Schizosaccharomyces pombe: one gene and its partner. Each later gene encodes a partner of the first gene's protein in a complex. Each region holds a gene or a part of one and is shown on either strand. Other genes may lie near its edges.

What was found.
Region 2: mod21 (region 1) and alp4 share a complex: the UniProt entries of both Schizosaccharomyces pombe proteins name them as parts of the gamma-tubulin complex.

The regions. Positions count from the first base shown.
Region 1 is NC_003424.3:247,974-252,931, reverse strand, and holds mod21 (gamma tubulin complex GCP5 subunit Mod21), read left to right. Parts: upstream 1-2,005; 5' UTR 2,006-2,161; coding exon 2,162-2,325; exon of another isoform or gene 2,326-2,382; coding exon 2,383-4,252; 3' UTR 4,253-4,353; downstream 4,354-4,958. Other genes in the region: fatty acid elongase Elo1, read left to right, coding at 180-540, 595-1,206; nucleoside diphosphate kinase Ndk1, read right to left, coding at 4,549-4,958. UniProt on the Schizosaccharomyces pombe protein: Component of the gamma-tubulin complex that is required for the regulation of both interphase microtubule organization and nucleation, and mitotic bipolar spindles. Required for correct septation.
Region 2 is NC_003423.3:2,522,080-2,527,826, forward strand, and holds alp4 (gamma tubulin complex GCP2 subunit Alp4), read left to right. Parts: upstream 1-1,981; coding exon 1,982-4,336; 3' UTR 4,337-5,055; downstream 5,056-5,747. Other genes in the region: UDP-glucose 4-epimerase Uge1, read right to left, coding at 1-545, 714-776, 844-846. UniProt on the Schizosaccharomyces pombe protein: Component of the gamma tubule complex that is required for the regulation of both interphase microtubules and mitotic bipolar spindles.

The DNA of each region.
Region 1 (4,958 bases):
ATTGTGGAATGTTCATCTCTGGGGTGTGTCTTTTTTTGAGGCACATCATGTGTTACTTTTGTGTGTAGTCGTTAAGTACTACCAAACATGAAAGCAAGCGTCTGAAAGAACAATAGAAATTTCACTAGTTTTAATGCGATTGAGAGGCTTTCATGTTGATTTTTACTAACAATTTTTAGGTCATGGTTAAATTCCCTGGCAGATGCCACATTCGGAAAGCGGCCATCTTCCTTTGAATTTATCGTAAACAAAACCCGCTTTTCGTCCGCCCCGGTCGTTGCAACCATCATCATATCTTACTATCTTTTAATTCTTGTCGGAGGTAGAATTATGCGTAATAGGCAACCTATCCGTCTTCAAAAGATTTTCCAATATTATAATTTGACTTTTTCCATCGCTTCAGCTATCCTTGCACTTTTGATTTTTGAACAAGTAGCCCCTGCTATTTACAAGCACGGTTTTTTCTTTTCTATCTGCAATGAGAAAGCATGGACTCAACCGCTGGTATTTTTATACTACTGTGCTTATATTTCAAAATTCGTACGTCTCCATCGTTTTTTGACCATACTTTTTTCATTCTAACATACGTTTTAGCTTGAATTGACAGATACTTTTTTCCTTGTCCTCCGCAAAAAACCCCTTCAATTCCTTCATTGCTACCATCATGGTGCCACTGCCGTTCTTGTATATACTCAAATTGTTGGCAGAACTTCCATCAGTTGGTTGATCATTGAAATCAATTTATTGGTTCATGTTACTATGTATTATTACTACTATCTTGTAGCCAAAGGTATTCGGGTTCCTTGGAAGAAATGGGTCACCCGCTTTCAGATCGTTCAGTTCTTTGCTGATTTAGGTTTTATTTATTTCGCAGTATACACGGAGGTTGCGTATCGGTTGAAGTTTTACAAAGCCTGTATGGGCCATTGCTCAGGACATCCTTTAGCGGCGTTCTGTGGTCTCGCAACAATCTCTTCATACCTTGTTTTGTTTATCGTCTTTTACCATAACACTTACAAGAAAAATGCTGCTCTCAAAATGAAAGCTAAGGCTGCAGCTGCAACAAAAGGTAACTCATCAGAATCTTCTAAAAATGCGGACTTAAAGCGTCTCTCAAAAAGTAACGCTTCTATTGCCGAGGTTAAATGCAATAATATAGTTACTAATCTGTATCCTATTTCTTCAGGTTTAAACAATGAAAAATAATGTTTTCGTGGTACCTCTTATGGTTTTTAATTACCCGATTTTGCTCTTACTTATAACTTGATATTGAGCCCTAAAGTCTACAAGTGCCTTTTTTTTCTTTGTTCTGCTTAACGTTGCATTTAGAATTACCAATTAATAGTTGGAGTGACTTACGGGCGACGATTTTGTGAATTTTGAAAGTACTTAATTGTCCGTTAGCTTTACATCCTTGTCTATATTCGATTACTACCTTTTATCCAGTGAATCCTTTTTCCCATTCCTTAATCAAGATTTATCGACGTCTTTACATGTTCTAAACTTTTTAGCTAAACCTCTACTAAGTATAGATTTGTTAACTTCGTGGTATCTTAAGGTCAAACTTGATGGTGTGATAATATAATTAAAAAAATCAGAGCCAAAATCTTTTCTTCAATATAATGTTCTGAATCTTTTTTTCCAAAGATTAAAAGTCCATTTGTTTAATATTTTATATTAAAAAACCATGGTAATACTAATGCACAACTTATGAAAAATGGGTATAAATTAGTAAGAAAATATACGTTCTAATAACAGTACTACAGTTGTGTAAGGTTGGTAAATTTCTCTGTATAACTTGTAGTCATTGCAAGTGAGCATACGGAATTCATTATTTATTTTGAAGTTTTCTTACTATTTCAGTTAGGGAGCGGCGCCGGTTAATCTAATAACAGTAAATACGTTTAAAACAAAATATATTAGTTTTTTTTTTATTACTATTATAAATGACTTACACAGCTTAACGGCAAATAATGATTAACCCCCTTCAGTCATAAATTGACTCAACTCATTTCTCTCATGTCAAACAAAAATTTTCCTTCATTCGCGATAGTATACGAAATATACACTCCTTAATCGGCATTTTAGCAATATCAGCACATAATAAAGAACATATGAGAATACAGGCAAAGCTTAATAAATGTTTTATCAAGAACTGTAAATGACAATGTCTCGTGCGGATCAAATCCTACAGCATCTCTTAAGGGAACTAATACATAATGATTCATTAGTTGCTAGTGAATGGTTAAAACATTCAAAGAAAATCATTCAAAATGTCCCTAGTTCGACATTGGTATTTCATGAAATGATAGAACATATAAAAGGGTAACGTAAAGCAGATCTGCCGATTGTTGTTGGAATGTTAAGACTAACTTGATCTAGCATCTGTGACAAAATGGGTATACAAGGTCGGGAAGATTTAGAAATGCCTTTACGAAACGCTTGTGAAGTTCTCAATCGTCAAACCGTTAGTGTCAAGCAAAGTATATTGCATGCCCAAATATTAAAACTTTTCCTTGAATTATCTAAACCACCCTCAGATATACATGTCCCACAAATTCCCGTCTACAAAGATTGCAACAAGAATGAACAAGAAGCTATAATCCAGTTATTAACTAGTTGTGAAGGAGACCACTGGTTGATGCCTGACTGGTCTTCAATGCCTGATGATGAAACCATAACAGAAGACTCTGAGGAAGAAACTTTCAATGGAAATGCTAATGAAATTACGATACCAGCCAACATCCACATCCCTATCATCGAGGAGTCTGACAACGCGTCTAACAATAAGCTATGTACTTTATTTAAAAAAAGCAAGCAACCGAATTTAGATTTTTTACAGATAAAACCCTTTATGTTTTGGGATTCTAGTTTGAACGAAACTGTCCGAATATCTGAAAGAAGTATTATTCGCGACTCTATATATATGTTGATAGGTTATCCAAGTTTTTTCTTCTTAAAAAATGGTTCAAAAATTGAAACACGACTTTCTTTATTACCAAAGCTTCATCACATGAGCGAAGAGATTCTTCGCAGTATAATGACAGAACTTGCCGATTACGGTTCTAACTTGGAATTTTTTCGACAAAAACTAACATCTCCTAGCGATTCGTTTTTTAAAAGTGATGACCAAAGTACCAAGAATGAGCCGTTTCTCTCTGTTGTCTTCATTTATCCTCAAATAAAACCACATCTCTTAAGTTGTTTAAAAAACACACACCAAGAGCTTATTAAACTCGAAACAGAAGTTTATAACGCTACAAAGAACTGTACTCTTTTTCAATTTTTTCAACATGTAAAAAAATTCGTTGATCCACTATTGTGCTTTCGTTTCGCTTACGAAAAATCAGCAACGAATATGTGGGATTTTGTTAAAACATTGGAGTTCATATATTCAACAAGGAATTACTCTTCACAAATGTTCAAGCTCTATAAAGCTTCTGCTATTGCAATGTTATTGTGGATGGTTAATCAAGCCTCACAAATTACCAGTTCTATGACTATAGCCAGGCCTCTATATAACATTTTAATCCTTTGTAAGGATTTTCCTAACAATTTCCTTGAGAAAGACAATATTGCTCTCCAATTGGGTAGTATTGTTTTTGACCAATCTCCAACTCTAAACAATTTACTTGTGGAAATGGAAATATTAATTAGAAGCAAAATTTTAAAGCTTGGTAAATCTTTGGATTTATCTTTTGACTTTCAAAGTTTAATGGGGGAGTTTGAAAATTTAATAAAACAACAAGAAGAAGCTAAAAAGTCGTTATGGTCAAAAAGATTTAGTCGTTTCTATTATGGGCATTATGTATTCGTCAACACCTGTCATAATTTTTTCCTAACACTATATCAATCTTTTACTGAAGTTGATGAAAATTCTATATTCAACGGCGTTTTTGAAACGCTTAATAATGATGTTGATGATGAATCTGTAATAGGGGAAAAAGAGAAACTTATTTTAAAGCAAAAGCAGAAATGTTTATCTGAATTTTTTGTTGATGACATAAAGAAGCTCTTAAATGAAGAGCTGCTCAATTGTCAAAAGCAAGAGCTACCAGATGTCATGGAAAATACATATCAAATTTCGACCGTTTCAGGAATTAAAAATGATCCGTTATTTACGTTGGACCAAACCTGTAATATAATAGCGAAACTAGCGGACAATCTCATACATCCTTCTGTTCCCATTGGTAGTTCTGCCTATCGATGTAGACGAAATTTGGCTGACTTATTATTCCTTATAATGCCATGATTACGATAAAATGCCATAATATTTACCATTACGTGTATAGAATCAATAGATTTCATAAAAGTAACCTTTTGGATGAGTAAAACCATACTGACTTACATGCGATTTCTCTAGTTTCATGTCGTTTACTAACGAATGATATTTGAAAAAGACCTATATCTATTAAAAAAAATGATAGTGTGCTTTAATGAAGGTAGAAAATCATTAGTCATATTTATTTGCTTTGGGTGTTGCTGATAGTTTGCATCACCCATAACAAACACGAGTCCTTTTGAAGAGGCTCTTTAACTTCTTCTTATTCATTCGTAAATCCAAGGTTCAATTGTACGATCGTAAACTTGGATTTCCGAAGGCTGGAACCAAAGTTTAATTTCACGATTAGCGCTTTCTATGGAATCAGAACCATGGCAAACGTTTCTACCAAGGTCGATACCATAATCACCGCGAATAGTGCCAGGGGCAGAATCCAGAGGGTTACTGGCGCCCAACATTAAGCGACCAGTTTTCACGGCTTGTTTACCTTCCCATATCATGGCACATACAGGGCCTGATGCCATGAAACCAACGAGTTTCTCATAAAAAGGCTTTCCTTTATGTTCGGCATAATGTTCTTCCACAAGATCACGACTAGGAACTAAAAATTTTAGAGCACGTAGTTTGTAGCCCTTCAACTCAAATTTTGAGATGATGTATCCAATCAGTCCTCGCT
Region 2 (5,747 bases), on another chromosome or scaffold:
CCAAGAGGATCTTCACCGAGTTCACCAGAGGGATGAGCACCTCCGGGATTAAAATAGCGTAATAAAGCTGCATTAAGCGATTTGTTCACCTTGGTCTCATCCTCAATGATATTTTCAATGAAAAGCTTTGTGCGACCATATGGGCTTGTACCTTCACGAGGGCATGACTCTGGAATAGGAATGGTACCACCAGGTCTAGTAGGATCGCCATACACGGTAGCAGATGAAGAAAAGACGAAGTCACGTACATTATACTTCTTCATGCACTCTATTAAATTAATGGTACCGGAAATGTTATTTTTGTAATAACTCAAAGGAACCTGTACAGATTCACCAACTGCTTTGAGACCAGCAAAATGAATGACAGCAGATATGTTTTGATTTGCGAAGACCTTGTCCAAAGCTGGCTCATCAAGCAAATCCACCTGGTGGAATATGACTTTTTTCCCAGTGAGTTTTTCAATGCGGTGCACGGCTTCAACGCGAGAATTGCATAAATTATCGACAATTACAACATCATATCCTTTTTCTAACAAAACAACGCACTATTGCAGATTGTGGTTAGCAAAATATCTCAAAAAAGAGCTTTATAGAATATGGACGAAATTGTATAAAAGTAAAGAGCAGCAAGCTATATTCACAAAAGATGCGTGCTTAAAACATTTACATGTACATTACTAATCCTCTTCTGTATCTTCAAGCTCTCTACGTACCGTATGAGAACCTATATAACCAGCGCCGCCAGTAACCAACACAGTCCCTTCATGAACACCAGTCTATGAATCATAATTAGTATTTTCATACAAAAGAATGCTTTTGATTAATTAAAAAAGTTATTCATACCATTTTACACGTTATAATTTGATATTAAAGGGGTGGGCTCAAGACTGTAGCTATTATGCTCTTTCTTTGTTGGATATTCAGTTTCCTACATGCTCAAGGTATCAATGCAGGTCGTTACCTCCTGTAACCTGACATGATGTAAAACGAGCAAAAGCCACAATGAAGCTTAAGCTAAAAGTGAAAAGTGCTTGTATATCTCGCTAAACCATTTTATTGATATATCGCTAAAAAATTCCTAATCATAATATTATATAGTAACAAAGAGGTCGTCGGAATAAGTGTATAGCAGATGAATGCCTGTGATTAGGTGTATGGATTTTTCATGTTCATAAAGCATTGAGGTAGTAATTTAATGTATGTGCATTTACCAATAAATTTTTTTTTTGTATTTATTTTTTTAAAAGATGAACTCGAGATTTTACAACCAATATACACTTTGATAGATGTAATGTTTGTGATTTCACCACCAGCTTCATGCGACTACAAAATCCTTGCTTCCCTAGAAAAGCATTTTATCTGTAAATAAATCATTGATGCTTATATGTATTTTTGAAAAAATTTATTTTGTTAAAGAAATAACAAGTAAATGTATAATTAACATAAAACCGAGCTAAATTTATTGCTTTTATTATGCAAATATTACCTACTGGCTAGTAAATAAAGCGAAGTAGTCTGCATTAGAATAAAAAATTTAAACACAACAAAAAAAAAAAAAAAAAAAAAAAAAAAAAGATGAAGGGAATAAATCCCTCAAGCTTAGGATCTAAAATTTTTATCCATTCAAAATAAACTCTAGCATATAGAATTTGTCACTGTCTACTGCTATCCATATATACTCGAATGAGTATTTGGGGTCCTTTGAGTTTACGGTAGTCTTACAATAGAAAATGCTGCAGTCTTCTAGTTATGTATTTTTTGACTAATTTTTTTTATACTTTTTTGCATTTTTTAATGCTACACGGACCTGAGTTGGTTTGCTTTGAAATTGCGTTGATTGTTAGCTGGCGCATACTTACCAACCTACATCTTAAAACTGGCCTGCTGGTAAACAAGCATATCCGAATAATAATTACAAAGAGCACTAAATATTAAATAAATGTTCACACTTTTGTAGATTATATAAAAAAAGACTCTTTAAATGGTGAGATCGATTAGTTCGGTGCTTGCTAAAGAAGAAAGCGAGAATGGGAGTCCAATTCCAGCTCTCGAGGAAGGGAGCGTTTATCATGTCTCTTTGAAGAGTGAAGGTGTTTCTCCATTTTCTGATAGGATTCAATTAAATTATCTTTACGATGGGAAGACTTTTAGCGATCCTTCGAACTTAAATATCCATCAGCAGGAAGCATGTCTCATAAACGAACTCTTAAATGCATTTATGGGCATGGAGGGTGTATTTGTACATCTCCAAGACATGAAAGCATCCTCTGAGTTTGAAACCATTATTATGCCGCCATCGTTTTATATTCTTCCTGGATTTGATTTAGGTATAAAGGATATTGCTTCTGAGATGTTAGAGATGGGGTCTCATTATTTAAGTATCACAGCTTTTATAGAATCGAGAAGCCATTTTGAATACGGATTTGTTAACCACGCATTGTGCGCTGCTTTGCGAAAGTTTGTGATGGACTACGTGGTACTTATCATGCAGTGTGAAAATCAGAGCCGAATTGATCCAAATTTTTCTCTTCAAACTCTTCGCCTTTATACTCTTCCCACATCGCGTTCATTACGACAAGTGTATTTAATTCTACGTGACCTGCTTTTGTCTATGGAAAAGAATGCTTCCAGCAGCGATGATTTAGGTCTTAGTAACATCGACGATCTTTTAGAGCAACTTAATGAAGGAAATGACATTTCACATGTTGTTAATGCCACTAGGTCTAAGAAAAAGGTTTGTAAAGGTGGGCAAGTCATTTCTTTTTTGACCGAAAGTCTTACGAAATATGCGGGTGATCCTGTGGCACGAAAAATCCTAACCTATTTATTGCGCGAAGCTTCACGCCCTTATACAAAAATGTTGAATGAGTGGATCCATCTCGGGCTCGTAAATGACCCATATGATGAATTTATGATAAAAATACACAAAGGAATCACATCTATGCAACTTGATGAAGACTACACAGATGAATATTGGGAAAAACGATACGTGATTCGAGAGGATCAAGTTCCTCCACAATTGCTTGATTTACAAAACAAGGTACTCTTTGCAGGCAAGTATTTGAACGTCGTTTTAGAGTGTAGGAAGGGAGTTAATAACCTGGCTTCGTTAAATGCAAAAGACGATACTCAAAACCAGTTGCTCTGGCCTTCAACCTTCGATGATGATAACTTTACTTTAAATATCATGAATGCCTATGTTTATGCAAATGAATCTCTCTTGCAATTACTCCAGTCTTCACAGTCTCTTTACGCTCATCTGTACTCGCTCAAACATTATTTTTTCCTTGATCAATCTGACTTTTTTACAACATTTCTTGACAATGCTCAACACGAGCTACGAAAACCTGCAAAGTATATATCTATCACGAAGTTGCAGTCGCAATTAGATTTAGCCCTTCGTCAGCCTGGTACGATAACTGCGACTGATCCACATAAAGAATACGTGACTGTAGAAGTGAATCAAACATCATTAATAGACTGGCTCATGCATATTGTAAGTATCAGTGGTTTGGAAGAAGGAACATCATCTCAGGGAAACGAAGTTTGGAATGAATCAATCACGAAGCAAGCGGATGTGGGCAATGAAACTCGAAATTTTGAGAGTGAACACAATCGGAGCACACAGGGGACTTCAAAAGTTGGTAGCGATAAAGATATTAATGGATTTGAAACGATGCAACTATGCTATAAAGTTCCATTTCCCCTTTCACTTATTTTATCCCGCAAAGCTATTATTCGATATCAACTTTTGTTCAGATATTTTCTTTTACTTCGTCACGTTGAAATGCAACTTGAGAATAGTTGGGTGCAGCACAGCAAGAATAGTGCTTGGCGTCTCAATTCCTCCAATGCGAAAATCGAACAATGGAAAAGGAACAGCTGGTTATTAAGGACACGAATGCTTAGTTTTGTTCAAAAAATAATCTACTATACTACAAGTGAGGTGATTGAAACACATTGGGGGAAATTTATGGGAGAACTTGAGAACGCCCGAACTGTGGATAATTTAATGCAGGAGCATATCGATTTTTTGGATACGTGTCTAAAAGAATGCATGCTTACTAACTCGCGATTACTTAAAGTACAATCTAAATTACTTAATACTTGTGCTATGTTTGCCTCTTATACTTCCACGTTTACCCGATCCTTATATTTGCTTGAGAATTCCGAAGAAAGCTTTGATGAAGGAAGAATGGATAAGATGGAAGAAATTTTACGCCGGTACGAAGACAGTTTTAGTCGTCATTTAAAATCCTTAGTGAATGCTTGTAACTACTTTGCAAGTACTGAGACGGCGGCTCTTTTAAGTTTAGTAATGAAATTGACGGGATAACTAAGAAGAGACAAGATAAAACAAGGCAAGGTAGAAAAACTACAAATGGAACAACGTTACTATTGTTTTATTGAGATATGAAGAAACATCTGACAAACAGCAATGGAAATTGGGAGAAAAACTTTTATGGATATTTATATAGTCGGTTTTTGGATAACCTTATCTTTGACATCTTGTTGCTTGTACTCGTTAATAAAGAAATGACTTGGAGTGAGGATCTTGCGGAATGGCCAATTATCTTCATAAACAAGCATTGCTTATCCGCAGTATACATTGGTCCATTTTCAGTAGTTTGGACTTTTTTTTGGCCAGTTGTCACACTAAAAGCGTACTGCACTATTCGGTTAAAAATTGACAAAAAGACGACTGCCATTGGCCATGAATTTAAGAATGATTATGGAGAAAGGCATGGCGAGCGTTTAATATGCCAACACTTGTGTTATATAAAAAATAATCGATTTTTTAAAATGTCTGAAACAGGGTTTGCTGATAATGCCTGAGGAATGGTAACTTGGATTTTTGATCGCTAATTTTTTATTAGCTATGTCGCTAAATTTAAGGCAAGTCGGCAGTATGCCGCGTGATTGAGGAAGAACGAAGAGAGAGGCTAAGCATTTGTTCCTAGTCTAAAGAGCTATCGATTGATTTTGAAGTGATACAATGTATGCTAACGTTTGTACCATAGACAGCTATAGTAATGAACTTTGTTATGTGAAGAAGTACAGTTGCTACGACAGTAATGATGATGATGTATGTATATAAAAACCAAACCAAGGTTTAATTTAGGTGGTTATAGTATTGTATACGCAAAACTATTCATTTGTGTGCACTCGTAATGAATTTCTAGTAATTGTATTTTGCAGTTAAAAGTTTAATGGATGCGTAAACAAAGGAACAGGTAAGCTAGTAAAGCGCATACAAAAATTGTAATATCGAAGGAAAACGTCAATTTAGATTAGTGTAGGATGGTTATTACGAAAGGATAGAGTTACTATGAAAAGTGAGTACAGATTGTATGATTAAGTATGGGGGCGATAGCTGGGTGTGAGGCAAAGGAATCATATGACTTTAGAATTATCGCATCAAGGAGTAAGAAAAACGAAAACTTATCTCACAGTGGATTGCCCAAAATTATCAATCCCCCACCATGTAAGAGGAAACAAGAGAAACAGAGAGAGGGAGAAAGAAATAATTAGAAACTAGCAAATATACTTTACAGATTACAAATGGACACGATAAGTAAGTTAAGATGAAATAAAGGGGAAGATAACAAGGAACGGAATATAAAAGAGCATTTCGAACCGAATGAAACATTTTAAGCCGAATGTATTGAAATCGAAATATTTGAATTGAGAGATTTTTATTTTATCTGACTAATGATGAGAAAGGATAGAAGAGAACAAATAGAATA